Drosophila melanogaster: one gene and its partners. The protein of the gene in region 3 interacts with the protein of the main gene of each other region in a pairwise test. Each region holds a gene or a part of one and is shown on either strand. Other genes may lie near its edges. The genes, in order: Cpr64Aa, E5, Sirt2 and Pgam5.

What was found.
Region 1: the proteins of Sirt2 (region 3) and Cpr64Aa interact in a two-hybrid assay, tested with the Drosophila melanogaster proteins (one large-scale study listed by BioGRID).
Region 2: the proteins of Sirt2 (region 3) and E5 interact in a two-hybrid assay, tested with the Drosophila melanogaster proteins (one large-scale study listed by BioGRID).
Region 4: the proteins of Sirt2 (region 3) and Pgam5 interact in a two-hybrid assay, tested with the Drosophila melanogaster proteins (one large-scale study listed by BioGRID).

Annotation. Positions count from the first base shown.
Region 1 is NT_037436.4:4,205,096-4,212,306, reverse strand, and holds Cpr64Aa (cuticular protein 64Aa), read left to right. Parts: upstream 1-3,128; 5' UTR 3,129-3,214; coding exon 3,215-3,415; intron 3,416-3,742; coding exon 3,743-4,120; 3' UTR 4,121-4,469; downstream 4,470-7,211. Other genes in the region: Cpr64Ac (cuticular protein 64Ac), read left to right, coding at 1-62; Cpr64Ab (cuticular protein 64Ab), read left to right, coding at 835-849, 959-1,306; CG43367 (uncharacterized protein), read right to left, coding at 6,774-7,081.
Region 2 is NT_033777.3:13,869,839-13,878,298, reverse strand, and holds the start of E5 (E5), read left to right. Parts: upstream 1-3,382; 5' UTR 3,383-3,702; intron 3,703-4,045; 5' UTR 4,046-4,119; coding exon 4,120-4,999; intron 5,000-8,460.
Region 3 is NT_033777.3:20,324,421-20,332,545, reverse strand, and holds Sirt2 (sirtuin 2), read right to left. Parts: upstream 4,082-8,125; 5' UTR 3,958-4,081; coding exon 3,873-3,957; intron 3,818-3,872; coding exon 3,726-3,817; intron 3,670-3,725; coding exon 3,573-3,669; intron 3,518-3,572; coding exon 2,631-3,517; 3' UTR 1,631-2,630; downstream 1-1,630. Other genes in the region: CG4360 (uncharacterized protein), read left to right, coding at 5,010-5,673, 5,748-6,230, 6,394-6,917.
Region 4 is NC_004354.4:1,868,338-1,875,198, reverse strand, and holds Pgam5 (phosphoglycerate mutase 5), read left to right. Parts: upstream 1-1,633; 5' UTR 1,634-1,668; coding exon 1,669-2,226; intron 2,227-2,292; coding exon 2,293-2,604; 3' UTR 2,605-2,799; downstream 2,800-6,861. Other genes in the region: Vps26 (vacuolar protein sorting 26), read right to left, coding at 1-838, 918-1,061; CG14803 (uncharacterized protein), read right to left, coding at 2,848-5,255, 5,321-5,901, 5,957-6,276; Pex5 (peroxin 5), read left to right, coding at 6,275-6,412, 6,485-6,861. UniProt on the Drosophila melanogaster protein: Displays phosphatase activity for serine/threonine residues, and dephosphorylates and activates Pk92B kinase. Has apparently no phosphoglycerate mutase activity.

The DNA of each region.
Region 1 (7,211 bases), on a different chromosome or scaffold from region 3:
CCGCCATCACCAAGATTGGATACGCTTCGGCGCCTGGTCTGAGTCTGGGTGGATACCACTAGGCGATGAACCGGTGGACCAAGCGATGACAAACTCCATGGCCTAGTTGTAGGACCGTTGTTAAATAGTTCTAATGCATTTACCCACTTTTCTGTCAGTCAAAACCCGAAACACAAGGACGTGCGTGCTGTTGCCACCCCGCTGTTGACCCACATTCCCAATCTCCGATCGAAGGATCGCCACCATAGACTACGTTTAGGGATACCGTTCTGGGGATCTGGGGAACGGCTATCGGCCACTTAGTGAATTAGTAACTGCATTTACTGAATAAAAGTTTCGGTACAAAAAAAAAGATTGAATGAATTGTTATTAGTTGTTCGATGGAACTGATCGGTTGGAAGTGATATTCGAAAAGTTGAAATATTTCTAGGAATGCTCCACATTCCCCTGCTTAACCCAGTTAAACATTGGGGTAGGTCCCGAGCTTCGAGTTAAAGCTCCCAATCTTAGATTCCGATCACGTAGTGCCAACTATATTTACGGTTATCACAATTCATATTGGTGGGGCTTCAATGGAGGGGAGAATTGTGCAAGTTGGGCCATTGGATGGCACGTCCATGGGGGAAACTTTTTGCAGGTGGACCAGGCACAAAAACGGGCCATTACGTCAGCAAATGGAATCGTTTTTGGCAGCGGTTGCCACACGGCGCATGTTATCGCGGAAATGTGGAGGCCCTTTATAACCCCGATCCAATGGCAATCCAAGACAGTTCCGACAGCATTGTCAAGCACAAAGCACCATTGGAAAACCACTATCCACCAGCAAATCTAGTCATGGCCCTGATCAAGGTGAGTTGAGGGAATCCTGGTCAAGGAATGTGATTGAACATACTACTAGGATCTGCACAAGTGTATATCTTGATCATAAATCAATCAATGCACCTTACTTAACCCACAGATCACCCTCATCTGCTGCGCTCTGATCGCCGCCATCGAGTGCGCCCTGCTCCCAGCTGCTGTTCCAGTGGGAGTGCCCCTCAACACGGAGGTGGATCCACATCCGCAGTACGCGTTCGCCTATAATGTGCAGGATGCCCTTACCGGGGACAGCAAGAGCCAGCAGGAGGTGCGGGATGGAGATGTGGTCAAGGGCTCCTACTCGGTGGTCGATGCCGATGGTTCACTGCGCACCGTCTTCTACACCGCCGATCCCATCAACGGTTTCAATGCGGTGGTGCAGCGAGGACCAGTTCCGGTGGCTGCTCGCCCATTGGTGGCTCCAGTGGCTGCTCCAATCTTGGGCTAACTCCACAATCTTTCAGAGCCTTTAACACTGCTTGTAACCTAGCTTTTACATAACTTATTGTCTGCTCCTTAGTCCGTTGTAAAGTCAGTAATCATTAAACAATAAACTCAATAAGCCAAAGAAATACATGAAATCCTTCAATCATATTCAAGGAAAATCCGCAAGTATTCGCTTCTCAAGGCGTTGATTAACTAAAATTAATCAAAAGCTCTACTAAAATTCCGAAACGAGTTTAAATTTACACCTATACATTTTTATTAATTAGTCAGTTGATTAGACAAGCTCAAGGCCCAAAATGCATACTTGCCTAGTTAATGATAATGAACTAAATTAAAAACACACTTAAAAGTAGTGCAAAATAACAAGATATTCAATGGACATTTTTTCAAGATCAAAATTTGCGTGTTAATTATGATGCAAATATCGTCGTTTTGAACTTGAAACTTAGCAGTGTGTTAACTTTTTCAATTACATCATAATTGCGGGTGTCAAGAAATGGAAATGGTTATGTGCTTAATGGAACTAATTACTTGGTGAACATTTTCGTGACTCCATGCCATGTAAAAGTGGTTTTGTAATTTTAAATGTAACAAAATGTAACCAGGAAAAGCCCAATTCGCCAAAGAAAGCTGACCCATTCCACTTACATAAGACCGCAATCTTAGATGGTTATCTCCCCTCCAGCTGTCCCACGCCCAAAGAACTCTTCCACTCCAAATGAATACATTCACTCTCGCTGGCCCAACACGCACTCAAATTATTCAATAGCTTAATTGAAAGTAAAAAATCGGCACGAGATGCAATTTTTGGATTACGCAAACCCCAACCCGAGCATGTCCATAGATGTTGCTGCCGGCGCCGACTGCAACTGCAGCAGTTACTGCAACTGCAACTGCAGCAACGCCTAACAAGCGGCGGTACGCGTTGAAAATTAGTGATAATGGCCAAAATTGTCCCAATGGCAACAGAGCAGCGAAACAGAACCAAATCTATACACTCAAAAAAATACTGCATGACATTCGAAAATCTATAGGATTGAACAGAATATTCTACAATTGATATCCTTTTGTATTGTATATGTTATCCAAGTACTTTTTTCGTAGAGATTTTAATATCACATATCACATTCATTGCGGTTAGAACTTTTTCGTTTTCTCGCAGTGCATTGAATGCGTCTGGCGTAGATTTTTTGGGTGGGCGCGGCTTAGAGCAGCCAGCCAGTTTCGAAGGCTGTGCCCCAAACACACCTTTCAACAATCGACTGCTGGGTGCGTGTGCAGCGTCGCCCCAATCTGGTGGCCATAAAGTCGAGACATGGAGACATGGGAGGCACTGGTGCTCATGCGTCCACCACACCTGATCCGTCCGGCCACCCGGCTTAGGCCCAAATAATTCGCTTTCGAATTGAACTTTTTTGTCACGACAACAACGACGGCGATTCAGCCGGCGTGGGACCAGTTTGCTTTGGTCCAGCACAGTCCTCCCAGACTCCCAGACATGCGTGAACCGCCAAGCACCTCCAGCGCCTTCAGCTCGACCGGCAGCTCCTCCACCTCCGGACAGCCCCTTCTGATTGCCATGGGCAGCGAAAAATGAATTATTTTATATTTGTCGCGATCGATGCGAGCATTTCGCATAGGCACAGGCCGCTACAGACTCCACACGCATGCTCACTTTTTAGTTGTTTATTATTATTTTTTGTGTCTTGCTGCGCTTTTTGCATAAATATCTGGTGGCAGGCGGCGGCGGAGGCTGTGGCGGATTTTTGGGCTCGCGTCTATGTGAGGCCTATAAAAAGCAATTGTCGTGCGGCCACAGAACCACAGATCGAGTTCATTTGTCAGTCGAGCAGCAGTAGACCTCCAGTTCTCCACTACTCCATCGCAAACACCAAGCAATCCGTCCAGAATGGCACAGAAACTGATCCTCGTCCTGAGCGCCCTGGTGGCGGTGTCCTCCGCCGTTGTGGTCCCTGGTCCCGGACTGGCACTGCCCGCCTATCCATCGTACCCGGCGCTGGCCAAGGTGGCTGCTCCTCTGGTGGCCAAGGTGGCGGGTCCGGAGCCATACGATCCCAATCCCCAATACACCTTCAGCTACGATGTTCATGTGAGTCAGCTTCGTAAGAAGTTATTAGTCACCTCATAAAAAGCAATGCCAATTCAGAAATCTGCATTCGAATTTTATTGCTTTATTGAGCAACTGGTATGCAAATTTTGATTTTGCCAGACATTTTTATGAAGTGTTTATGGAAGCTTAGAACTATTAAATCCGACCACTTGGTTGAGCAAGTTGGATGTTGGATATAAAATATTTATAGTTTCCTTGAAATCCTTAGGATATAAGATGCAAAGGATTCGTTTCAAGGCATTTCTTTAAATATAAAGTACCTATTCCTATCCTTTGCTAATCCAACAACTTCCTTCTGCCCACCAGGATGGCTCCACTGGTGACGTGAAGAGCCAGCAGGAGACCCGCAGCGGAGATGTGGTGCAGGGCGCCTATTCACTGATTGAGGCCGACGGAACCCGCCGCATTGTGGAGTACACCGCCGATCCCGTGCACGGATTCAACGCAGTGGTGCGCCGCGAGGGAGCTGTGGTGAAGGCTGTGGCTCCGGTGGCCAAGGTTCTGGCCCCGGCTCCGCTGCTCCATGCCTCTCCTCTGGTGGCCAAGGTGCCCGCCTATGGTCCGGCTCTGGCGCCCGCTTACCCGGCTCTGGCCCACGGATACGGACCGGCTCTGGCTCCCGCCTATGGACCTGCTCTGCCCAAGCTGGCCCTGCCCGCCCTCTCGCCCCTGGGCTACCACTAAGTCAGATGGATGGATATACACCACTCGAATAATGCCGACCTCTTGCCGCAACCGAATAATGGACACATCGCGACCAACTTCTCCTGCCACCTGGGCTCCAGTTAGCCGGAGCTCATGGGCCGATCATAGTCGATAGTAGTTGTAGTATTAGTGGAAATGAAAGCGATTTATCGAAATATGTACATACGAATTCACGGACAGCGGATTCCGATTGCCCAGTCCTTGAGTTACGGATCCAATGTTCCCTCATCTACACTCACACATTCTCGAGACCTTTCATTTATGTTTCTTGTCTTCTTAATCTTAAGGCTGTTTGACCGCGATAAATACTCTATAATCCCCAACTCACAATCCCCGTTTCAATTCTTATTTAATCCGAGCCTGTGCACTCGAGTAGAACTCGCAGAATGAGAAACGAGATTGCAATAAACGAACCGAAGCTATGCAAATGGAAAGTTAATGGAGTATTCTTTTACGGGAAATGAAAATTTGGAAGAAAATTACTCTGATTCTTGAGTTTTAAAACGGAAGCTGATTTCTGTTTAAAGCTATTGCTTGAATATTATATCGAAATATATTACAACCATTGAACATTAGTAGGATTCAAAGACAATTACTATATTTGTAGCTAAATAATTGAAAATATCTTATGTTACATATTTTTTGAATATATAATTTTCAAATAAATCGGTTTCCTTCAAGAACTAAAGAGTTATATTTGAATAATATTATTCAACTAATAGGCAATAACTTGCTTGTGAATTTTTTACGCTTAATAAAAAGTAAAGCATACTAAAGCTATTTAATTCGATTTTAATTGCCAAGATTGCGTTTAATTCTAAATCATTGAATGATAATCGCTGTTATTAGAACCAAAGTGCCATTATTCAGTGGCGGCTTAGACTTTGACACTGGCAACACATGAATTCCATGTTAATTTTGGGACATGTAGTGCACTTGTGTCGCTCACCGCCCGTGAGTGGTTCGACCTTAGAACAGAACAAGCCCCACCTGCGTGGGTCACCCACCGGGCTACCGATGCAGTGCGCCACTGAATGGTGGATAGGCTAATCGCTCAAGGTCGGGCCACGCACCACAGAAAACTGCGTAATTCGAGCGTCAATGCAAAGTGGTCTAAATGAAATTTATGGTCTCAATTGGAGAACAGTCCGTCGCCGATCCGATTGCCAATCGATCCGATCGAGTAATTGGCAACTGGCCACCGGGCACAATGGAGAACTTGGAACTGGAACTGAAACTGGCCGCGCCTCGATCATTGGCTTTGGATCCGGATAATTTGATCCGTCCGAGAACTGACCTCCATCGGAATGGTGCGGAGTGGACCCCACATCGTCTGCACATCTGCAGCGGCGCCTTCAATTATGCGCATATTTGTTATTATTTATGTAAAAATGTATAGATCGCATAATGACTTTTCGTTACATTTGCACTTGCATAATGCGACGGGCCTTTGTTGCAATCGACATTAAACGCTTTTGATGATTTAATAAAATTAAATTGAAATGTTAATCGCGACACGGCATGGGCGGGAAACTGGAGGGGGGTAGCTTCAAAAGACATGGGCGAAAGCGTAAGACAATGGGCGTGCTGCAGCTCCAAGCAACCGGTGCTACAATGGGCACCAAATGCTCGAGGGGCTACCAAAATATCGGGAAAATTTTAGAAAGTATTGCGGAAATACGATGATGCACTATAGTTTTCACATTTCATTAATATCTGCGCATTATACACCTTTAAGTTGAGCAACACTTTAAATTTAGACATTCTTTAACAACTTCTAAAGACAATTGTAGTTAAGAAACTTAAAAATGCCTTATGTAAGCAAGTAAACAAAATATAAGCATATAGACACCTGAGTAGATTGATTTTCAATAAAAAACTATAAAATATTTGCATCATAATAAAGTTTTTATTAATAACGACTAAGTCCTAGACCCCGGCCATATGATAATCTCAAAATCTCGCCACTAATCTCAGATTAGTGAATACGATTTTAATGAGATTTTCAGCCAAAAGTCCGACCATAAATAGCCATCGGATTATCACCGATTTGTGGCATTGTGTTTGACGCATTTCACCCATTGTGTCAGTGGAACTACTAAACGTATTGTGGTTACCACCAGCCGAGTGTGTTGATGATCATGATGACTCCGCTGCAGACTTTAATGATTGAGAGGGATTTGTTTGCATTTGGAAGTGAAATTAACACAGAGCGCGGCGGCTTCTGGCCATGTTTGAGTCTTCGAGTGATTCGAGTGGTGCCTTCAGGTGATTAAGTGATCACGCACACATGTAATGCGAGTATTTATTATAACCATGCACGCTGGCACGCTCGATTACAATTGTCGCCTCAAATGCGAGGCGGGCAATTAAAATGCTGAATTTCGCGTCATTTCATAATGGAATCGGGGCGGGCTTAGTGACGTTTACACAGAGAAAAATCACTGACGTGAAAATGTAAACTAAATATGAGAGTGGATGATACCTAAAACTGGTAATATAGGAGGAAGAACCGGAATTGATATAACATCTTTAGAAGATATTTAACGTTATAACCTTAGAATCCACTTATTAAAATAGGTACTTTTTCTTTCCATGTGATAATAGGTACATATATCAGAGAAGTACTCACCCGGTGTACCATGGTCCGCGTGGGCCGTACAAGAAACGCTTGGCGGTCTTCCAACGCTTCCGTATGTGGCTGTCGATGGTCTTGTGCTGCAGTGCAGCCGCCTGCAGTCGCTGCATCTCCTCCACCTGGCGCACCTTCCACGGCATGTAGATCTTCTGCTGGAAGAGGCGCCTGTTCTCCGCCTGATTGGTGGCCCTCTGCTTGGAGGCAGCCTTGCAGGCCTCGTAGCACTCCGCCCAGAATCGATTGATGGGCTCCCACAGATGTAGTTCGATGTCGCGTTGGTAGCGATCGTACAGAGGCTTCACCTGAAAGTGTGAGAAATTAGAGATTAGTACAGAGAGAGAAACAACCTACAACATCTTGATATCTTAAGCCTTAAGTAAGCAAAACATCCTAATCTTTTAAGCCTTTTATAATTGTGATTAATAGCCAGCT
Region 2 (8,460 bases), 6.5 Mb from region 3:
CAATTATTAAAACAAATAAAGCCAATTAGCTGTGTCAACACGAAGCGCTGTTCGCTGCTAGATGTGGTGGTGGAAACTCCTGGCTGGCCAACCCTGGTGGCCATTATCCATTCGCTAAACATCCATCTCCGTCGCCAACCCCCAGCTGTCACTTAAGCCCCCCATTCCCTTCTCGATCGTCACGAGAAGTTGTTTTAATTGACACTGAAAAGCCGTCGCCATCATCGCACATCAGATTTCCCAACAACGGATTCATCAGCACCGTGGGCTTCCATTTGCGAGTCCAATAAAAACGCTAACGAGGCGAGGGTGCTCACAGATACTCAGATACTCTGCATGTATGTCTAAGATATTGTATCTGTATCTATAAATCGGGCAGATGGACAAGCGTAGGAGGGTTATCGCAGAACAATTAATTTCCAACCAATAATTGCGAGTTGAATAGGGGATAGGAAAACTGGTAAAAATATGCCCATAAAGCAATATGTCCATAAATGACAATAAATAATGCTAAAACATAAATGTTTTTTTACAATTTCATAAATTATTTGAATACTTTTGGATATCCAGATGCGTAAAGTTCGAGTACTTTTTACACTGAATCCAAATAGTACATTTTAAAAACTAAGATGATGCTAAATATATAATGGCCCTTGTGGAAATGTATAGATAGTAACATTATATTTAGCCTGTGTGAATGAGACCGGGTGACCCAGCCAACCATATACAGTACAGTACAGCCTGCCCACAAAGAAACCCCTTGTTAAAAACCCACCTCCTTGTGAAAATCCCCCCTTGTTGGAAACTGGCAAAGCCGTGCAAAGTACTCGTGATAATGAGCTCCATCTCGTTGGCAATTATTAAATGAAGTGGATTTATACGCTGTGGCCCCCTCCCCTTTCGACAATCGCCCCTGCCAACACCCATCCCGCTCACTCCAACGGAACAAAGCGTCCAACCCCTTGTTAGCAGCTGCTAATACTGTTGTCCCGTTCTCTCGCACACAGATACTGCTTGCAGCCAATCAACGCCAGTTGTTGGTTTATCTCGCTCAGTGGCTGTGGAACATGGAAACGTCTTGTGGATTGCATTTCCACATGCAGAGAGACTGGGGCAGAAAAACACCAGTGTGAAGTGGTCTATGGAAGAAGGTGCTTCCACTGGAAGAACCTAATTTTAGTCGACTTTAATTAGTTTGCTGAAATGCTAAGTAAACCTTATTCGAAGAACATTATAATTGTTACTGGACAGTCATTAAAGGATAAACCGAAGCTTAATTGTAAAGCAAATTAGGCGCTTTGTTTCTTCTCTTTATGTATGTTTATTTAATGTAAATAATGTTAGTAAATGTTTGTTGAATTATACAAAGTAAATTCAACGAAAAGATGTGTAACATATAAATTGATTAATTTTAAAATCCATTTTCATTTAACAGATATGCTTATCGTATTTGTTCGAACTAAAACCTGAGTTACACAAGAATTAAACAAATGTATCTCAAATATATAATTTTACATCTACCGAGAAAAAGGCCCTAGAACTTGCATCGCGTTTCGCGAACTGATAATGCAGGCATTTGCTGCATTTTATCTTTTTGTGGGCCCTCCTTCTGGTCATATATCAAGTGCGGTAAATGCCAAAAAATACGCCCACAAAATCATTGATTGCCGATCGATAACCTTTTGCGGTGATGGAGCATCCCATAAAGTTCTCGTCCCAGCTCATTGTCTGACTAATTAAATGATTTATCCCGAATCGTGAGGCAGAGGAGCTGGAAAGGAGATGGGAAAGAGTAAAAACCAATTACAATTACCGCACCCAGAGGTGCCACACTCACAGATATAGATATATGTATACGTGTATACATGAGTGCATCTGCGGCAGCAAAGCTGCTGCCCCACCGACAAGCAACGGCCTTATCTAGATGCATACAAATCCAGCCAAGCGCACGTCAATTTATTTGCCAACTCTCGCCTCCTTTCTGGCCAACATCCATATCCATTCATGGCCAAAAGGAGGAGAATCGCATGTATTTACCTATGAGAAGGCTGCGAAGTTGGCGCTGCATGTTTTATGCCTCCTCCTGCATCTTTAACGAGGTGTTTATTTTCACAACTCACAGCCAGCGGATGAGGATGCGGATAGGGATGGGGATGGGAATGGGGATGGGGATGGGTATACAGATACTCGGATGACCACGCACAGATACAGATGCAGATACGTTCCCTTCCCAGCACGCTGTATCTGTATCTGTGAGATTCGCGCAGTTGCAGCTCGCCGAAGGTGTAGAAACCAAGTTACCGCCCATTTTCGTGTCCAAATGCTTTTGGCCAACATGATGCAGATGCCAATTCAGAATGGTAGAATGGCCAAGCGGCGGGGGGAGGGAAAGTGGTTTATAGCCAGCACTGACGACGGGGCGTCTAAGCTATATAAGCGATGACGTTGATTCCACTGCACAGTGGTATCGGCTCGATATCCTTTGAAAAATGCGTATTTTCTACTTTTGAGTTATGTACAAATTTGAACACTTTTTAATATCGATTTTCCAGTAGATAGTAAATAATTTAATACATGAAAACAATTTAAAAACGGTTACTGATGAAAGATAAACGTTTAAGCCTTAAATATTTCAATGAATAAATACAATTCAATTAAATAAAGTTTCAATTTTTTTTTATTGTTAGTATTTGCATAATTAAAAGAGGGCACAGTTCGCTTTTCAATTTTAAATGTTATATTTATTATATTTATTTTTAATCATCGAAGACCTACTTCCTATCCACTGTTCGGGTGCACCACCCCCGTTCCCCCTCCTACGCTCCAACAAACTGGCCAACCCGCTTGGCACTAAAACCACAAACGCTTTAATGATGCTGTTTTGTTTAGCGCAAATTGTTTGTTTCGCTGTCATAAACTGGTGCGAAAAATGGCCAAGAGAGCGACAGAGAGAGAGAGAAAAAGAGAGAGATTGGGGCCCCTCACACACCCACACACCAACAAGCCCAGAGAGCGGGAGAGCGAGCGAGAGAGGAGGTGGCTCCACTTGGAGCCAAGCAGGTTTTCGGAATATCCACTGAACTATTGTTGCGCTGCTTTGGCGCACGCGCACCGAGCCACGTGTGCGAGCGAGACGCCAGCAGTATTGCTGCGCTGGAAGTACAAGCAAAGGAAGAAGAAGCACACTCGAACTGGCCCCACAAACTTTTTGCGGCTTTTTCCAACGCGACACTCGAGCTAAAACGCTCAGCGTGAGAGCCACGCAGCGATTCGCCGACGCCCCCGCCAAAAATCAGGACAGAAAGAGAGAAAGCGAGAGAGAGACAGAGGTTGCGAGCGGCGAAGTGGAGCCAACAATTAGACGCCTTTAGACGCTCCATAATGCTAATGGCGTTGACAGTGCTCATCATCATCGCAGCGCGGCCACCGCAATCGTTTCGTTACCGGGTAGCCGGCATAACCGTTAACCGTTAACTGATACCGCCACCGCCACCGTCAATCGCCAATAGTCAATCGCCAACCATCAATCGCCGCCGTCAATCGTCCAGCGAAGCGGTACGGTCACGCTCCAATCGCCGCGTTGCCGCCGCTCCAGTTACAGTTACAGTTTATCAATGTCACGCCGACGGATGCCAACCGCTGGAGCATCGCAGATACAACGCTACGTAGCTATATAGCTATAGCTATCTGATCGGAAAAACAGTGCGTGTGTGCTTATCTGATATCTAGTAACCATTAACCGATGTACGCGATCATGTTTCCATAGCACCAACCCATTTATTGGGAGCTTCGATCAGTACAACCCTTTTTCCGTTTCCGTTTCTATTCAGTTCAATTCCATTTCAATTTCCATTCCCTTTGATTTTAGTAGGATTTTTACCGTTTTATTTTATTCCTAAAACTTTTAGTTGAGCATTATTCTTTTATTTACTGATTTATCCCGTTCGAAAATACAAAATTTTTTTTTTCAAAAAAGTCAAATATGGAATGGAAAAAATGGAATTTAAGGCCTACAAGTGTTCTTATAATCTACTTCGACTTGCAGAGACTTCGAATCGGGAAGTTTAAGAGGAGGGAAAGTGATTCATTTGTTTTTCCAATCAACGAAACCCCTACCAAATGGTCACCTGCGGCCGGCAAACGTTCAACATGCTGCCCATGGCGCCGACGAGTCCTTTTGTGAGCAGCAGCTCCTCGGTGGCCGCATCCTCGACTTCCGTTTCCGCCAGCAGTACCGTTTCCGCCTCCGCGAGCAGCAAGCCCAAGCTGGCCTTCAGCATCGACTCGATTGTGGGCGAATCCTCGACGAGATCGGCTCCACTAAGGGTCAGTGTGATATCTTCGCCGCCGCCGCGCAGCGAAAGTCCCGCTTCGCCAACGAACACGAACAACAGTGGGCGCCGGACGCCCAGGGGCTATATCTACTGCCGCAGAAGGGATTCGCTGGATCGATCGCGCAGTCCTCAGAGATCACCGGTTAGCCGGTCGCCATCGCCCCCCAATGCAGGAGGCAATCCGGCAGCGGCCGGGAATACTGCAAAGTCCGGGGATCCATCGTCGGGAACGGGAAATCCTCCAACCCTCATCCGTCCGTTGCCTCTGCCGGCGCCAAATCTAGCTTTAATTGGGAACCGCACCTCACCGAACGCCATGGCGGTGCGCATGGCGGGTCCGCCCCACCCGCCGTCGCAGCCACCGCCGTTCCTTGCCGCCCAGTTCCAAATGGCTGCTGCACTGGCTCATCATCACCAGCAGCAACAGCAGCAGCAACAACAGCAACTTCCGCCCGTGCCAACTGGACCGCCACATGGTCCACATCCGCATCTGCCGCCCGGCCAAATTCCACTTGGAATCTTTCCCGGCGGACCGCATCCCGGGCATCCTCCGCCCCACGGACACCATCCGTTCGGGAGTGCGCCGCATCTGATCCGGGATAGCTATCCGTTGTATCCATGGTTGCTCAGCCGACACGGACGCATTTTTCCACGATTCCCAGGCAGTAAGTAATCACACTGTTTTAAATATATCTATTGTTTATTACAATATTTTCAATAAGTTCAGAGTTCAGAGAAGCTAACCGGTTTAGCAAGCGGTACTTTCATATGTATATAAAACCGCTAAAAATTATTTCTATAAATTGAAAAATATAATTTTTATGCATAATCATCTAAGCTAACAATTATTTGTAATAAATTTACTGCAAAATTAATAACAGTTTATATAACAATAATACATATCATTTAATTTAATATTTACCCTATTCTGATAATAAGAGTACATCTCTCTTTTACGGATTATTAGAAAGATAGTTGTTACATATATATTTTTCATATTTGAACATTAGAATATTATGATAGTTTACGGTCGGTTTCTTCTTCTGGAGATAGCAACCACCCCTTTTGTTGGTTATTTTTCGCTATAACGAGTTTTCCGCATTCATTATAGCCGTTTCAAATGGCCGCTGAGTGTTGCGAGCGACAGAGAAAAAGAAACCACACCTTAAGTCATATTCGAAGCCCAGCACCATTATAGTAGAGAGGACCCCAATCAAGCAATTATTCAGTTATCGCTGTTGTTGCCGCGCAGCTCCATATAATTAAAGTTAAATAAGCAAATGGCAAACATTTATTACAAGTTAATTAGACGTGTATCGGGCTCATCATCATCAGAGGGAGCGGGACGGAGAATGGGAGCGAACAGGAAGGGGGGAATGTGGAGGGAACCGAACCCATTTTGATAACTATTTCCAAACAAATTACATTTTAATTAAATTGTTTAAACAACATTACACACATCGTTAGGTCAAGCAGCGTACCTAAATGGCCAGCCAAGTGTGTGAGTGTGTGTTTAGCATTTATTTGCTCTATTTATACTTTTTCTCTTCACTCGAAATTACCATTAATGGCCAACAGACGGCGCCAGTTACTCATGCGGCGGGCCCATGCGGCGTATGTGTAACGTACGAAAAGTGCAACCATTGAAATGTTAATGCGTTTTTAATTGAGGTTTTGGGGCAACCAAGCAAAGAACCGAGAGGAATGGTAAAAAAAAAAAACTGGCAGATAGAAGCGAAGAGCCACCGCAAAGCGCATCTCAAAAACATTGTCATTTATTACGGTTTAACCACTTTTTTCTACCATTCCGCTGCTCTCATGATTACCATTTGAATTTCCAGGCCATGTTGGTATCCATGTTTTTTTTCGGCCGGTTAAATATAATAATAATTTTCGGCACACTCACACGCCTTTCACCTGCTTAAGTGTACATGTATCCCCGTTACGCCTTAATTATGTTGTACTCCGTTTCATTATTTTCTCCCTTTCTACTTGTTTTCCCATTTCCCGCCGCTCCTTCTCTTTTTTCTCACTTTTCTCCGCGCCGCCTGTAATTTTCGCTTGATTTATGAACGTGAAATGTCAATGTTTCGCATAACGATTTCATTAATTGTAAATGTTTTTCATCTCCGTTTGTTTTGTAACTCGTGTGAGTAATACCAGGTTACATGGGTTTGTTTTTCTTCCATTTTTTCCCGATCTGGAGTAAGATAATGGGGATCATCGCGATAGCGACGGTGATGATACGTCAGTAACTCAATTCAGCTTGCACGTGCTGCAATTTCTGGGTGTTGCCCTCTAATGCAGCCGTTGAAGTTCTGGGAAAACGGGTTAAATTAACAAGGCTGAGATCCTTATTATGGAGGGCTTAAATAGAGGGCACTGTAATTGGACAAGCTGCTTCGGGATTCCCATTCTAAAGGCTTACGAGTTAGCAGCTAACAATTAGTATACCTCATAAATATGTATCGTTAGAAATCGAATTTACGCATTAGAATATTTAAGTTGTATTCCTTAGTATCACTGCTCTATTTTATTGGTATCTTATGTAAATCATTTTTCAAAAAGAAGTATGTATGTATTTATACTCCACAGCATAAAACTGTAAAATCAAGTTTTTAAGTAGTGTTTTACCTTTTACTTCGCCCATTTATAAAATTGCACATTTCAGTAGTACATTGTTCAAACCCATTATCCCAACAAACCCACAAAATTCCATTCATACATCCCGACTGCAAATGGCCATTCCCGTCAAATCGATCATCACAACACATCATCCCCGTCTGTCATTCATTTGATTTCAATTATCGATTCCGAGTCAATGTCCTCGTACGCGGGACATGCGAGGAATGCAATAAATTAATGAAAAAATCATGAGAGCATAAAAATTAAGCCCTAACTCGGTAAAAAAGAAAGCAAACACAATTGCACATAAGTGATAAATAATAGGGCGCACAAAAAGGCCAGGACAGTCGAACAAACGAAATCGAAACGAAACGATCCGGCACTTCCATCATGGGCTAAAAAATAAGGTACACTCGAATCTCTATATATACAAAAAATGACAGCTGACAAGGGTGTGAGCCACTGCAAAAAAAAAAAAACAAAAACCATAAAAAACAACAACTTGGCCAGCAGAGCGGACACATCAATTAATTGTCAATTGCGCGTATTTTCGCACGGCGGTTTCCTTTGTGTCCACAAAGCTGGAGGAAAAAAAGGAAAAAGTGGGAAAAACTACACACACACTTCATTGAGAGCTGCTGCAGAGCTAGAAAAAATAATTAAGTGGCCATTGTGAGCGGCGGCATTATCAATTATACAGCCTCTTCTAAGATACAGTCGTGTATCTTGTATCTTGCAGCTACATTGTTAGCTGTCAAATGTAACAAATGTCAAGCGATCGTGGGCTATATAAAAAAAAAAGAAGAAGCCGAACTAGATCACTCTGGATGCTACCTCCTGGCAATCGTTTGTCAAGTTCATAGCAAAAACCAGGCACGCAGTCAGTCCGCCGAGTCAGTTGCATCTGTCAGATACGTGGATACATGGCCATCAATGGTGCGAGGCTGCATTTATGAAGTGTCGAATTGACAAGTTCCCATTCCCATTCCCATTCCCAGTCCATATCATTCCCTCTTCCCTTTTCATTGTTATTATTATTTTTTCCAGCCCGGCGGTGCTAACAAGACACAAGATACATTTCTGGGGTTGTATCTTGTATCTAATGGCTGCGCACCCTTTCTCCTTGTATCCTTTCTCTATTAGCTGTTTATTTTTGCAATGGCTTAGCTTCTGTTGTATAGCTTGTGTCGTATTTTATGAACGGACTTCCTGCCTCCGAAATCGATTCAATTTGGCTATAACAATATTGATTTTGTAATTGGCACACCTTGCGGCAGCGAAAAGATCCTTCAGCTTAGGCTTGTTCACTAAATTATATCACAACAGACGGCTGGTTTACGTTCCATGTTTGGCTAGGGAGATCAACTTAGCAGCTTTGAATGACCTAGAGTTTTAAGATGACAGTTTTGGGGGCAGTCAGAACGATCAGAAAATTGGTTAACCACCGGATTATGGTTAGCTGTTTTTCAGGAAATGTCAACAGATATACATTATCAAATGT
Region 3 (8,125 bases):
AAGCCATTACCAAATAGAAATTTGACTATTTTTAAATTGCGTAGAAAGTTCAGCTTCTAAGAAAACCTATTATTTTGTCGCACGCTGTGCGCAATCCCCTCATAAAAACTCACACGCTTGTACCCACATTTATTGACACAAATTGCGTTTTGAGGACGGCATTTGGCAGCCGCCGTGGCGGTTCCTTCTGCTTTCTTTTTATTAAAGAAATAATAAAATATTCATAAAGATTGCGCTACGATAACCACGCATGTATTTTAGAGTAAACGACCATTAAATATGTTTGTGGCCAGGGCCTAACAATCAATGGCGATCCCAGCTTTATTAGCCCCGTCTGAGTTATTGGCCTTGTTCAAAATGGGTTCTCTGTTTGGGCGCTCAATCAATTCCCGGCCAAGCTGTGCGCCACACAATCATGTTAAGAATTCAATATCAAAGCGCGAGCGCAGCTGCCGCTGATGACATCGTGGAATGTCCACGATTTCATCAACCCCCCGCCTTTCTTACCAAGCCATTGATGAACAGGCTCGCAGCGAGTAGAGGGGGTGGTGATGGTTGAAGCTTGGGTCTGATTCGCAAGCATCGCATTTTGATTACAAATATGAAACATGCTCACTCAAATATGACCTGCCCCCTCCCTCGGTTACCACAAACCCGGCTTCCTCAATGGCGTGTGTATGGAGTGCACTTAATGGCGTTCCGCATTTCTCGCAAGGAGGGGTGAAAGTCAAGTTAATATTGAGCCAACTTGACTCAATTTTGACTGAGTGGGCCGAGACACTGACAAAAAGCTAGAAGAACCTATTTTCTACGTTAGGTCATCTACAAATAATATAAAAAGATGAAAGGTTTTCCAGATAAATATGATTTAATTTAAACATATTAATATAGCTAATGCCATACAAGAGTCATACTTTTTATTGCACAACTAAATATACAATACAATCTTAATTTTATATCACATCCTTGTGAAAAAAGGAATATTATGAAAATTTAATTATTTAAACATTTTCGCGTCAATTGATTAAAAATTACATATAACACTTTATAAGCACAATAGTTAGTGTAAAATCCCAAATAAGAAGACTTTACTCGTTGAGTTTTTGTAAGAAACTGATTTTATTTGGAAATATCTTCGGTTTAAATAGGTGACATGAGAATCGCATCTTAAAGTAAATGGCCTACGCAGAGGCCTAAGTAAATAGTCCCCGCCTTATCGAGGTCCCACGCTCGGGCACATCTGCCTATCTTGAGCGGCGAGGACCTTATCTGTGGTCTCCCACTAAGGGACTATTTTAGGAGGCGGGGAAAGATCTCAAGTGACTGACTCATGTAGTGTGCACTTAAATTACATGTTTTTGAGCAATGCACCCATGTCGCCTTAGATAACAAAATCCTAAATATAATTTATCGCTCTCGATTCATTTACATAAGATATGAACGGAGCCCAAAATTGTAAGTCTTTAAATATATTCGTGTTCATGTGTGAACAGTTAGTCTGAATATTTCTTTTTCGTATTTATTTTTATGTTTCAAACTAATCTTTGTATTGAATAACGTAACGTGATGAGCTAATCGATATTTATTTAACTTTTTCATGCGAACACAAATAATTTTTATTTGTGCAGCAAAACATTCGCTGAGAAGGCAAGACTCGGGAAAATTGCACATAGACAAGATCTTAGGCCATTAGCTTTAATTGCAAAAGTTTTGGGCCAAAAGCAAGTGCAATTCCAATGGCAACAGCAGTGGCAGCTGAAACTGCAACAAATTGCGTGGCTATCAATATTTCCGTGGCTGCATTTGATTTCCTAATGCATCTGCAGCCATTCATGTCCCGAAGTTGACAGGCTGGGATGCCTCCCATCATACCATGCATCCACCTCCGAACCGTCGCCCCTGTCAACGATTAACAATATCCGGTTGTGTACCCCGGCAGTAGCTATCCGCTGGCCCGATTGCGAGCTTGGTTTTAATTAGTCCTGCCCGTACGTATTTTCTATTGGCCAATTCACCGCAGAAGCTTCATTACCGGTCTACCGTGTGTGTCTCTTTCGCTTTGTGCGTGTGTGCTTCTGCAGGACAGATTGCGAGTCATTAAGTTGATGCAGCAGTAGCAGCAGCAGCAGGAGGAGGAGCAGGAGCAGGAGCAGCATCCGTGTAAGCCACACAAACAGGCAGTTAGAATGCCACATGCCACGCCCACAGCAGCGGTCGAGCCATGTCGAGGGGCTGGGCAGCTGTAACTGAATCGAAATCAGCATCAGCACCAACACCAACACCAGCATCGAAATCCATAGCCAAGCCCGGATCAGAGCAGAAAACGAAACAGAAACATGTCGAGAGTTAACCTTTGTTGGCGGTTTGCTGCTTTTTGTGCGCCGGAAACGGCAGAGCAACTCAATCAGTTTTTGCGGTTTATGGTGGCCCGGCCAAAAGGGACACGCTAATGGCTCACAAATGGCACTTGAATAATTGAATGCCGGAAACGGAGGAGAAAGAAAGCTCGCGGTATTAGCCAGCAATGCCTGCGCTTGGCATTGTCCGCTTTATACACGTAATCCACATGTAAACAAATTGCACAATTCAACTACAAATTAACTACGGATGTTACTAACTAATCTTAGGGTCTAAAGCGAAGCATCCTTCTTGTCCCTATCGCCCGAAGTCATCTTATCCGGGTCCGATTGCGGTTTCTCTTTGCCTTGTTGCAGCTCCTCACTATTCTGGCTGCCGCTCAGTTTCTTCCTTTCACTTGTAATTAGCTGCTGCAGCTCTTGGTCCCAGCCCAAGGCTTTGGCCAGAGCCATTACGCCAGCATCACAGTCGCCCAGAAAGGCCACATCCCTAGTGTTATTGGGCTTATCGAAGAGTAGCGATCGCGTGTTGGGATCCATAAAGAGCACACAGCTGGCCTGACCCACTGCATCGCGATTGATCAAGAGGCGAATGCAACGTGGTCCTGGTCTCCACACCAGTGAAGCAAACGGTTGCACTTCCAACGATGTGCCCATGATGATCAGCAGATCGCAATCCTGGAAATCCTCTTCAGGACTGGAGTAAAATCTCTTTGGCAAGTTTTCGCCAAAGAAAACAATGTCTGGTTTAACAACGCCTTGGCACTTTTGGCATTTGGGCAGACGATCGGCGAAGATCTCCGCCTTCATCCAGTCCATGTCGTACTCCTTGCGGCACTTAATGCAGTGGTTGGTGTGGAAGCTGCCATGGGCCTCAATGATCTTGTCCTCGGGCAGGCCAGTAAGCCGGTCTAGCGTGTCTATGTTCTGGGTGTAGTGGCGCTGCAGTAGTCCCTTGTCGTTAAGCAAACGGATAAAGTAGTGGGCCGGCGTGGGAATGAAGGATCCAGGGTAAAGTTCCTTGGCCAGTGCAAAAAACGGCGCTGGATTCTTTTCGAAGTAGTCCAGATCGAATATGGCCGTAGGATGTGGCAGCTCGTACTTCTTCAGATTGCTGTATAACCCGGAACCTGGGGATCTGAAATCCGGAATGCCAGCAGCTAGGAATGGCGATAACTTAGTAAGTTTTTACAATGGTATATAGAATGTACCAACATGTAGATATGCCGGCTCCCACCATGGTCACAATCTTGCGGAAACCATGCACACGCCAATGTTCGGCAAAGCCGTCAAAACTCAAATCTGGAATAACCTGCAAATTTGCGATTTAATCAATATGATAATCAAATTATCGGGTGCTCCGCTCACCTTCTCTACTTTAACTTCCTCCTTTGCGTCCGAGGAGCCGCCGAGATGTAGAGTGTTTGCAAAGAAGCGTCGAACCTTATCCATTGTGTCGTCTAGAATTCAATTCAATTAATGAGTGACAGTAAAGACCTAACTATTTAGACTAGCCTGGGGCCTCCTCGTCGTCGTCACTGGACGAGGAATTGGAGGGCGTCGTCGGTTGTTCCTCCTTCTTTACTTCGATGTCGCCCATGGTAAACAGATTCACCTTCCGGTGAAAGTATGTAAATCTGAGGATAGTGTGATGAATTCTCCCAATTGTTTATGTTGCGTTTTGTTTTAACGTAAAAAGCAAAACAAGTTCTGACAACTATCGATAGGTTTAGGCTAACGAATAAGTTATCTCTAACAGCTATTAAAAAGCTAGAATTTTAATTTCATTGCTTATTGATTTAGATTTTAAAATCAAATTTGTGCGAGCAAACCAAAATATTATAATTACTTTAAGTAGCCTATCAATGAAAGATTTTTATTTAACAGCGATTTATTAAGGGTCGCAAATAAATATGTGTTTGTAACGGTTAGAACATATTATGACTCATTAAACAAAAAGGAACCGAATAATAGAATAACTAAAGCTAAGAAGGGCGCAAAGTTACAAAATCGAGTATAGATAAAATAACAATTACACTTTGTTGATATCTGAATATAAACTAATTGAAAGGTTAAAATCAGCTGAATTGTCAGCACGGAGTGTCCAAATAATCGATAGCTGTTATCGACCCACCCAGTGTTAGGCTCTCTAGCGCCACCAGCCCTGGCCGGCCGATAGTCGATTACTCGATGTTCGGCGGGGGTGCAGCTCTGCCCGTTCGCTCAGCCCTGGAAAACCACGCCAGTCATTTTTGTTTTGATAAGGATACGGATACAAAAAGAGCGTGGCCTGGAAAAACTGCAGAAACGGCGGAGAAAGCGCCCCAAAAGCGAGCGAAAACGGTGGAAACTGATCGTGGGGAAGTGCGCGACAAAGTGGCCGCGGATTCAGGCCCTCCCAATCGCTACGTGGAAGCGTAAGCAGCGTGTTGAAGAAGAGAAGAAGAAGAAGCAGCAGCAGCGCAGCAAAAGTACACAGAAGTGCAAACCAGACGACTGAAATAACAAATCAAAAAAGGCCCCAAAAGGAGCGGCGCAGTGGAAGCAACTGCGGGGGCGGGGAATGGCCGAGGGTCGTCGGTGGCCGCCATTGTGTAACGCCGCCGATGGGCAGACTGTAGATCCACGCTAGGATCATATCTCTCGAATATCATGCATCTGAACCATGCGACAGCCGCCACGGCAGCCATGGCCAACTATCAGCACTACCAACTGCCAGCCTCCCATGGCGGTGGCGGCGGAGGAGGAGGTGGCGGTGGCGGTGGAGGAGGGAGTAATGGTGGATCTGGACCGGGTCCCAACTCGGGACAGCAGCAGCCCACCACACTGGCCAGCCTGCAACAGAGTCCCTTTGCGCTGCATCAACTCACCGCCGTGCAGGCCATCCAGCACCCTACCCACCAAGCCATGCTCCATCCACAGCACCCGCTGGTCCATTTGCTGGACATATCCACTACAACAGCGAACAGTGGCGGAGGAGGCGGGGGCAGCCACACGCCCATTTCTCCTATGAAACAGGAGGTGCAGAGCGTGATTAGCGAGGAGGAGGTGGTGGTGGACGATCCGCGCAAGAAGAAACAGTGCCACGTGTGCAAGAACAAGTTCCGGCAGCTGACCACGTTACGCAACCACATGAAGATCCACACGGACGAGCGGCCCTACAAGTGCAAACACTGCGACAAGGCCTTCCGCCAGATCTCGACGCTAACCAACCACGTGAAAATCCACACCGGAGAAAAGCCGTTCACCTGCAACATCTGCGCCAAGGACTTTCGCCAGCAGAGCACCTTGATCAATCACATCAAGACGCACAAGGGTGAGTGTGTGGTCGCATCGTCCCAATAGACCTTATGACCTAACTCTATTTCTCGCTTCGCTTACGGGCAACAGCGGCGGAGTCCAGCACGCCAACTTCCCTGTTGAACTATCAGCCGCAGACGGGCAGTGGCAAACACCGAAAGTCCCAGATGCACCAGGCCTACCAGCAGCAGCATCAGCGCGTCCAAATCTCAAAGACCTTGTATTCCGGCAGCTACAGCTCGCCGGCGGCCGAGGAGCTGGTGAAGCCGTTCCAGTGTAGCGTTTGCAAGCGCCGCTTCCCGCAGCTGAGCACGCTGCACAACCACGAGCGGACCCACATCGATCCTAAGCCGTACAAGTGCGAAACGTGTGACAAGTCCTTTAGCCAGCTGGCGACGCTGGCCAACCACAAGAAGATCCACACGGGCGACAAGCCGTACACGTGTTCCTACTGCCACATGCAGTTCCGCCAGCAGAGCACCCTTACCAACCACCTCAAGACGCACACGCATCAGATAGCGCCTGGAGGCGTCGGTGGAGCAGGAGGCGGCGGAGGCGCCGTCACAGCCACAGGTGAGCCGCTTGTGTGTTCGCCCTACCAATGAGCCGCTTTCTGTTATCCATGTGTGCATTGATTATTAACGCTCTTCCCTAACGAAGCTTTTATTTAAATCTTGTACGCATGCTAACTTCAACAAATCATCCAACAATCCAACTCCGTACCGTCAATCTGCAGTGGATCACTCAATGCCCGCTCCTCTGGCGCCCGGGACGCAGCAGCTGACCAGTGGCCTGTTGCCGAACAACCTGCACGGTAGCACGGCGAACATCATCCAGCTGGACCACCATCCGCTACTGCATTTCCTCGACGGCAGCACCACGGTCAGCTCGGTAGTGGCCACGGCGGCGGCCAACACCAAGGTGGAGCATTTCCAGGCGGGCGGCTCGCCGTCGGGCCGGATGACCGTAGTGGGCACCATCAACATGCTGAAGGGCGACAATCCGGACCGGCCGTTTGGCTGCAGCGTCTGCCAGCGGTTCTTCTCACAGCAGAGCACCTTGGTAAATCACATCAAGACGCACACCGGAGAGAAGCCCTACAAGTGCAAGATCTGTGAGGTCAACTTCCGGCAGGTGGCCACGCTGAACAACCACATGAAGATCCACACCGGTGAAAAGCCCTACAACTGTTCCTTTTGTCCTAAACAGTTCCGGCAAAAAAGCACACTGCAAAACCACCTGCGGGTGCACACCTGCTAGACCCACTTCAGATCCAGATCGCAACGCGATCCAGGTCCGCAGCCAGCCAGCCAGCCAGTCAAGCAGCCATTGAGGAATAGTGCAATATGCATGCCACATAGCACATACACTTATAGATCGCATATACGGCATACGAATACGATTACATGAATACTATATTTGAATATATACTCGAAAGTGTTATTTACCTGCTGTGCAGAGCGCAATTGTATGTAACTATATCGTAGAGAGCTGATCCACATGCGTGTCCAATTGTAAATTAAGGCTAGCCGTGTTGGCATAAGCCACAGATGATATGATACAGGGTGTTTAGGCCTAAACTCTATACTATCCCATGATGGTTCGATTTGAGTCGGTGTGTTAAAGGTATCTTAAGGCACTTTAAAGCCATTTAGTCTAAAACGTTTTATTATCTTTTAATACCCATCAATTTCTCGCTTTTCAAAGCTTTGTAAATGAATCATCGGCGTCTTTTTAAGTTTGGTTGCTGTTTTCGAATGGCAAGGAAAATGACTACAATAAATTTAGATGTGACCTACTTTGCACAATAACCTTTTATGCCTGTATATGCATAATTGTTGTCTTTTATATTTCCTTTACAAGGAACATCTTACTAAAAAAAAAAATATTGATATTGTTTAAAACTGATACAATTCAAGTTATATTATTTGTTTTAAGGTAAAATGGTCAAAGAGTTATTAGGATTTCTTTAGCACCGAAGCTTCTTGAGGAATCAAATCGATCCATACTACAGCTATCCTCCTATGCAACTGTTGTCACCCATGCCCCTAGATCCCTCGATCCCTAACAATTAGTTCCGAGCATCGGCTTCATTCAGCTTTTCTCGTCGTGTTAAATGTTAAGCCCGCCAGCAAAGTAAAGTAAATTAATTAAAAGTAAAACTAGTTATTGCTATACTATGTGTAATCCCGCCCGCTCTGAACCGACATAAAGCGTCATCGCAACCGAACCGAACGGAAATCGAAAACAGCAACTATTTATATAAGTGTACTCTTAGCGCATACTTAGCAGCATCTTCTACTCAAATGACTACGCGCGGAGCAATGGCGATCGCATAAATAATCAATAATACATTTAATGAGCGAAAGAATGAAAACCGGGTTGCTTATAGAACAAAAACTTAGAAAACAGAGAGACACAAGAGTCCCTAAATTAAGTGAATCGATAAGGAGAACGAAGTAAAACGA
Region 4 (6,861 bases), on a different chromosome or scaffold from region 3:
CAGCAGGACCGCTGACCAGGTGCGGCGGAGCGTGCAGGGGAACGTGTTGGTGCTGCTGTTGCTGGTGCTGCTGAGCGCCATGGTAACGCGGTTTGTCTGCCTTGCGCCACAGCGTGATCTCCTGTTGTTTGAAGTAGCGCCGGTCCTCGGTGTCCATCAGCACAAGGTTGAGGAAATACTTGACTGAGAACTTCTTGTTAATGTCCCGCATGGTCGGCGTGAGATTGTAGCCAGCAAGAAAGACCCGGATGGGTATGCTCTCGCCTTTGACGGGCGCTCCGTCCATGATCTCGTACTTGGCAATCGTTTCGTTTTCGTTAAACATGGTGGGGCCCGTGCCCGTGCTCTCCTTCTTGATGATCGCAATCTCCATGTGCTTGATCTTAATGCGCACCAACAGGAAGTAGATCTTGCCGATAATCGTGTCCCGCAGGTGGTACTTGCTTTTGTTATACTCGAATTCGATGTGCAGGCAGTCTTCGATGCCTACCTCCATCTTGATGGGGTTGTTCATCTCCGGGTAGCTGCACAGTGTGTGCACGGCGATGTCGACCTCCTTCGTTATGTCGCTGATCCGCCTGACGATGGTTGCGCGCAGGAAGTACCGCAACCGCACGTTCGAGCCGGCGTACACCTCGAATTGCTTCTCCACTTTGGGGAAATCGAATGGATAGCTGTTGTTCTGGATGAGATCGCCCGGGCGGGCCAGGGCCTTCGCTAGACACTTGAATTCGTGGTGGTTACCCCGGTCGTAGTACAGTTCGATCTGGCCAATGAATTCGATCTTAATGCCCTGGTGCTCCAGCTTGCTGCCCGGCTTCTTGAGGGTCACGTTCACCTGGATGAAAAGGGGGTGGATATGGGTTTATCTCTGGTTATGCTTGGGGGAACTCCCCCCGATGCTGACCACGACGCACCTTGCCGGATACCGTCTCCCCGTCGTAGAATAGCAGCATCTTCTCCACTTTGCCGTCCTCCCCTTTAACCTCTGCCGTCTTGTGCTCAGCTCCATCAAAGACTATCTCAATGTCCGCTGACTGGCCGAATCCCAGGAAATTCATAATTGATAAACGTCGAATCGGCTTCTTCTTCTTCCGTTTCTTATTGCCCCCGCCTCTGCTTCTTGCTGCTCCGATGGAATGTCGACGCTGTGACTCCTGTTGGCGGCTTTTCCTAGAGATATCTTTCTGATAACCCCTTCAATAAACCTCAGCTTTGATAGGCGTTTTTCTGCGGCCTTTTTACGTCCTTCGTTCCGATGCTGGCGTATCTGTCGCGTCTGTGTGTGTGAAATGAAAAAAATTGCAATTTTTCACACTACGGCGTTGCCATATCGCGTCAACCTGATTGTTATTAAGGAGTGCCAGCGCTGGTACTTTTCAGTATTCAGTATTTGCATGGTATTTCTTTAAGAAACACATACGGAATAATTAACGAAACAATTGATTGTGGATCCTTAATTTTCTTGGTATACAATAATTGTGTAAATATATTTCGTATTTTTGATTCATCTTGGTAACTTTTCGATAGTTGAATTCTAAATGGTCTTGCGCGGTATTTATATACCCGCTAACCTAGTATGTCAAATACCAAATCGCAGTATTTAAATACCGCACTTATTCAGCGGAACAAAACTAAAATTAAAGAAAATACCTAAAAGCCCTAACGATGCGAAAGTTGACTAGCTTCGTGTGCGGCACAGGAGCCGGACTGGCGGCTTACTACCTACAGCGGCTGCGGGACCCGCAGACGGTCGTGCAGAACTCGTGGACGCACAGTGATAAGCCGGTGGATCCGTGGGCCCTTTGGGACACCAACTGGGATTGCCGGGAGCCACGGGCCCTCGTGCGTCCACTGCGAAACAGCCAGCCGGAGGAGGAGAACCGCTACAACGCGGAGCTTGAGAAGGCGAAGGCCAAGAAGGCGCGCCACATTATCCTAGTGCGGCATGGCGAGTATCTGGACGTGGGTGACTCGGATGACACGCATCATCTCACGGAGCGCGGCCGCAAGCAGGCGGAGTTTACTGGGAAACGGCTCTGCGAGCTGGGCATCAAGTGGGACAAGGTAGTAGCCTCCACAATGGTGCGGGCCCAGGAGACTTCCGATATTATTCTCAAGCAGATCGATTTCGAAAAAGAGAAAGTGGTGAACTGTGCCTTCCTGCGTGAAGGAGCGCCTATTCCGCCCCAGCCGCCAGTCGGCCACTGGAAGCCGGAGGCATCTGTAAGTCAAGTCAAGGGTCAACCCAGTGCGTATTCCACATGATATTCGGCTTTCATTTCACTGCAGCAGTTCCTTCGCGACGGATCGCGCATAGAGGCCGGCTTTCGCCGATACTTCCACCGCGCCTATCCCGACCAAGAGAAGGAGAGCTATACCCTGATCGTGGGACACGGCAACGTGATCCGCTACTTTGTCTGCCGAGCCCTGCAGTTCCCCGCCGAGGGTTGGCTACGGATTAACATTAATCACGCTTCCATCACCTGGCTGACCATCAGTCCATCCGGCAACGTGTCCATCAAGTACCTGGGCGACTCCGGCTTTATGCCCGCCGAGCTGCTTACCAATCGCATACCGCGCGACGTCAAAAACGTGGTTTAGCCGTCTGTTTATAGAACTGCCCAAAGGAGAAGCAATCATAATGTATTTATTTCCAACACTTTAACTGAGACCTTGAGCACAGATCGCGAGACTGTGTAAACCACCATGTACATTTTGCCGCACCGTAACGTATATCTCTTAAGGAGGAATCATTGAATCTTCCGACTGAAATAATAAAGATTTTATAGAATGCCTAACATTTTATTGAGAATCCTTATATGTACAAAAGAAGCCATGAGGAGCCTAAACCCTGCTCAAGACCTTTTGGAGTCGCTGCAAGCACTTGCGTATGCCCACATCTTCTCCAGCGCCGCGTTTTAGCTCCACCTGCTCTGCCTGCTCCCTTATAAAGGATAGGATGGGAGCCACTAGATCCGGCGCCAGCTCTGCCAGGTTGATCAGCATCTGGAAGTAAAAGTAAGTGCAGTGGGCCAGGTGCTTTTCGGCGAGGGATCGCAAGTGATTGGAGCACATATCCCTGACCGCCTGTGATCGCTTGTAGGCATCGTGCGATATAAGCACTTTATAAAGTCCAAACACTTGGTTGCGACTGAGGTCCACTTCGTCCACGAACATTACGTGTTCCAGCAGCGGGATGTGCACGCCGCGCAAAACGGTTAGCAGCTGTTCTTCCTGCTCTTTGCCAGTGCTCTCTATCAGTTGCTGCATTATAGTGATCACCAAGCCCGCATGCTGTCCTGCCCTCCGCCGCTGGACCACCAAAAACTGGGTAACGAGGAGCTGAAGCACAAACTGCGCCAGCTCTCCATCTACATCCGCCTGGAGGAGGGTGGCATATGGACGGGCCACCAGCTTGGCGTTGGATGAGAAGCTAAAGTGCGGCGTCCAGTGCTGAACTAGTTGCTCCAAAGTCTTGGCCACGTATGCGTCCGTGCGGTAAGGCAGTCGACCAATGCCTTGCAGCAACACTGGGAAAATCTTGTGAACCACTTGTGGAAGGCGACCTTCGGGCGGCACTCCTGCCTGCAACTGCGTGGTGAGCAGGAACCGCACCATGGCCAGGTGGAAGAAGCAGCTCGGCTTGGATCGCACGTACGCTAGAGTGGAACAATTATAGATGACAATGGCTAGGAAGCTGTAGAACCGGGAACCGAGTTCCGATCGGCTTCGATCCGGGGGTAGCCATAGCTCGAAATGATTTACATAGGCATGCAGTTTGTGGCTCAACTGCATACGGACGTGGGCAGCAGCCTCCTCTTGCTGGGCACGCCTTCCCAGAGCTCCAAAGAAGGCGCAGAGAGGCTCGCGCCCGCCCTCCAAAGAGGTGGGATCAATGGCCAGAAGTCGGAACTCCTCTAGCTGTGTGACATGGGGCATTAAAGCCAATACAGATTCGTGTTGTGCGTTTAGGAGGACCAGAGACTTCACCCAGACCTGAAGAATGGTGGAGCTGGCAGGTCGCCCTCCGTCTTCCAACACCTGGAGCAACAACTGAGCAGAAGCAGCCATATTGATGGGTTCTGGTCCCTGCAGGAAGCCCAGTAGCAGTTTGTCCCCATTATTCTCCAGGGCGATGAAGTTAGCCGCTAGCTTTGGAAGCCATGAGCTATGGCTACTAACGTATTGGGTCCTCACCAGTGGCATTATGTGCTGTTGAAGTGCCTCCTTGATGCCACTCGCATTGCCAGCCACAGCTCTCCGCTCGCTGAGACGGAGGATTAAATTGTGAAGCGTCTGCCATACGCGATCCTGCGATGCCTGCCCACACTTTTCGACGTAATGTGCCAGCCATGGCCCGAGAAGCTGCTGCTCGCCGCGGTTGAAGTCATCCGCCAGATTAAAGATGGCTTGAAGGCTGCCCACATAAATGGCGCCCACCTCTGCATCATTGCGAATGGTGGCCAACTGGTTGAGCAGCTTGCTCACATAGTCATCCATAGATAGGCGATGCTGGGCATGCAGAAGCAGCAGGGCCATGTGTCCCTTGGCCACGAGAATCCTTCGCACCGGAGGCAGTTTTTCCAGGGCCAGGCAGAGCAACATTTCGCGCAGCTTGGGCGCCAACTCGCTGAGATCTTCGTGGCAGAGCAGCAGGCACAGAAACAGCTCGATCACATGGTGAATACCAGGCTCATTCAGAGCCAAAAGTTTCGCGGCACTAAACTTGCTGAATATGCGGCCGAGTAGTTTCTGACGTTGGTTGCTTCTGCCCTGCGATGGTAAAAGCTTCAAGGTTTTGCCCAGCATCCACGCGTACATGGTGAAACTGCTCAGATTCAAATCTTCTATATGCGACTTAGACAGCAGTTTGTTGTAGCGATCGACGTAGGCCGACCCATTGGAACAGGTAAGCGGCAGCTGATCTAGCTCAGTTCCCACACTAAAATTGCAGTTGAGGGATCGGTGAAAGTACTCCCACAGCTGGCACAGGACATCAGTATCCGGCTTGCCCAGCTGCAGTTGAAGGGGAGAGAGTTGAATTAGGTAGACCCGCCGCTGCTGTTCGTCCGGCTGGCTCGCCAGAAATTGCTTAAGCAGACTGGCAGTTTGGAAGCTTTCTGGTGCCGCAGTGAGCGGCGAGTGATCCGGCTGGTACCAACCCTCACTGTTGTATTCGTCCAAGCGGGCCAGTCCTAGCCTCAACCAGGAATAGAGTTCGTGGTATGCCAGAGAAATTGCATTGCTCTCACCTCGAGAAGAAAAACGACTATAAGATGAGGGGAAGCCGCACGGTCTAGCTTCTTTGTGCACTCACCCTGGAAGTGGAGTGACTTGTGCCTCTGCATGGCCTTGTGGAATAGAGTCCAAAAGTCTAGCTCCCGTTCTCCCAGCCATTTGGGAATAAGACGTTTCAGCAGCAGCCACAGCTCCTTGTTGCAGCGACACATGAACGGCGAGGAATGGATGAGCTCCGAGCGATGTTTGCTGCGGTAGTGATGTCCAGCACAAACGATCAGATCGTCGAGTGTGCGCTCCAGCTGCCCTAGGAACGCTTGATCATTCCCAGAGGCGTACAGTATATGCAGGTCCAGAAAACGCCACTCCAGTACGCCGTGATACAGGTGATACGCCGGCGCCTGGCAGTCGTTTCCCTTGTTGTGCTCCGCAAAATACAAAACCTTCCAGGTATCCGCATCCAGCTGATCGTTGAGCAATTGTCGAAACCCATCAAGAAAATGTGAAGGCAGCAGCTCATTGCCTCGTAGGAGCAGCATCAGATGGTAGAAGTGTGTGACCTGCTGGCGCACTCTATACCAACCAGAGTTCATAGAGGCGGCCGTGGCCTGCAGGTGTTGCTGGCCCATCACGACGGTTAACAGCTTCTGCACATTCTTACTGAGAATGGAAGAGTTGTACTTGTTGGCAGCTGCCAGGGGAGCTCTAAACTCACCAGGCCTCGCCGTACAGGTAGTTTCTTACCGCGCCAACCGCTAATTGAGCCGGAGCAAAGTCAAAACAGAGATAATCCAGGCGAGAGCGGGGCGGATCCAATTGGGCGTAGCCATTCCCCAGAAAGCCTCCCTCGCACAGTTGGCTCTTCAGAGTGTCTCGGCCACTGCAGTTGAACTCGGGCAAGTGTAGACCGTCGACTAGGTCCTCTTCGCTATCGTCCACGTCTATTTGCGCGCTCAGGGTTTCCTGCTTCTGTGTCGCCTGTATGAAGGTAGCCAGGATCTCCTCGTCATCCGACTGAAAAAGGTCGTAGTCCATGGTGCAGTCGGGGATTTGGCGTTCGAAACCAATTCTCTGGCGGATAAGATTTTGCGCGGCGATATATTTTATTATTATTAGAGCGCTGTGCAACACTGTCACAAAGCCGATAGCTTCGATAACGGCCGATAAACAGGTAATCTTTGTGACATTTGGACTTTTGTTTTGGACCTGATTTGGCCCCTTTTCTTATCGTTGGTTGCCCCAGTTACGTAGCATCTCCACTTCGAACACCATGTCTTTCCGCCCATTGGTCGAGGGCGACTGCGGTGGAGTTAATCCTCTCATGCAACTGGGCGGACAGTTCACCCGCGATGTTGCCCACAAGGATGAGGGCTATGTGCAGCGACACTTCGAGCGCGCTGCTCGTCCCGAGGACCAGTTGATCAACGAGTTCCTGGGACAGGTCACTGCCCCACCGCAGTCATTTCAGATGGACACTCTGCTCCAGGAGATGCGGGACATAAATATTCACGGAAATCCGCAGCAGCAGATGCACTCTCAGCAGGCGGAGCAGTGGGGACAGGACTTTGCCCGCGGACTGGCACCCGCCCTGCCCAACAAGATGATCCACATGCAGGCACA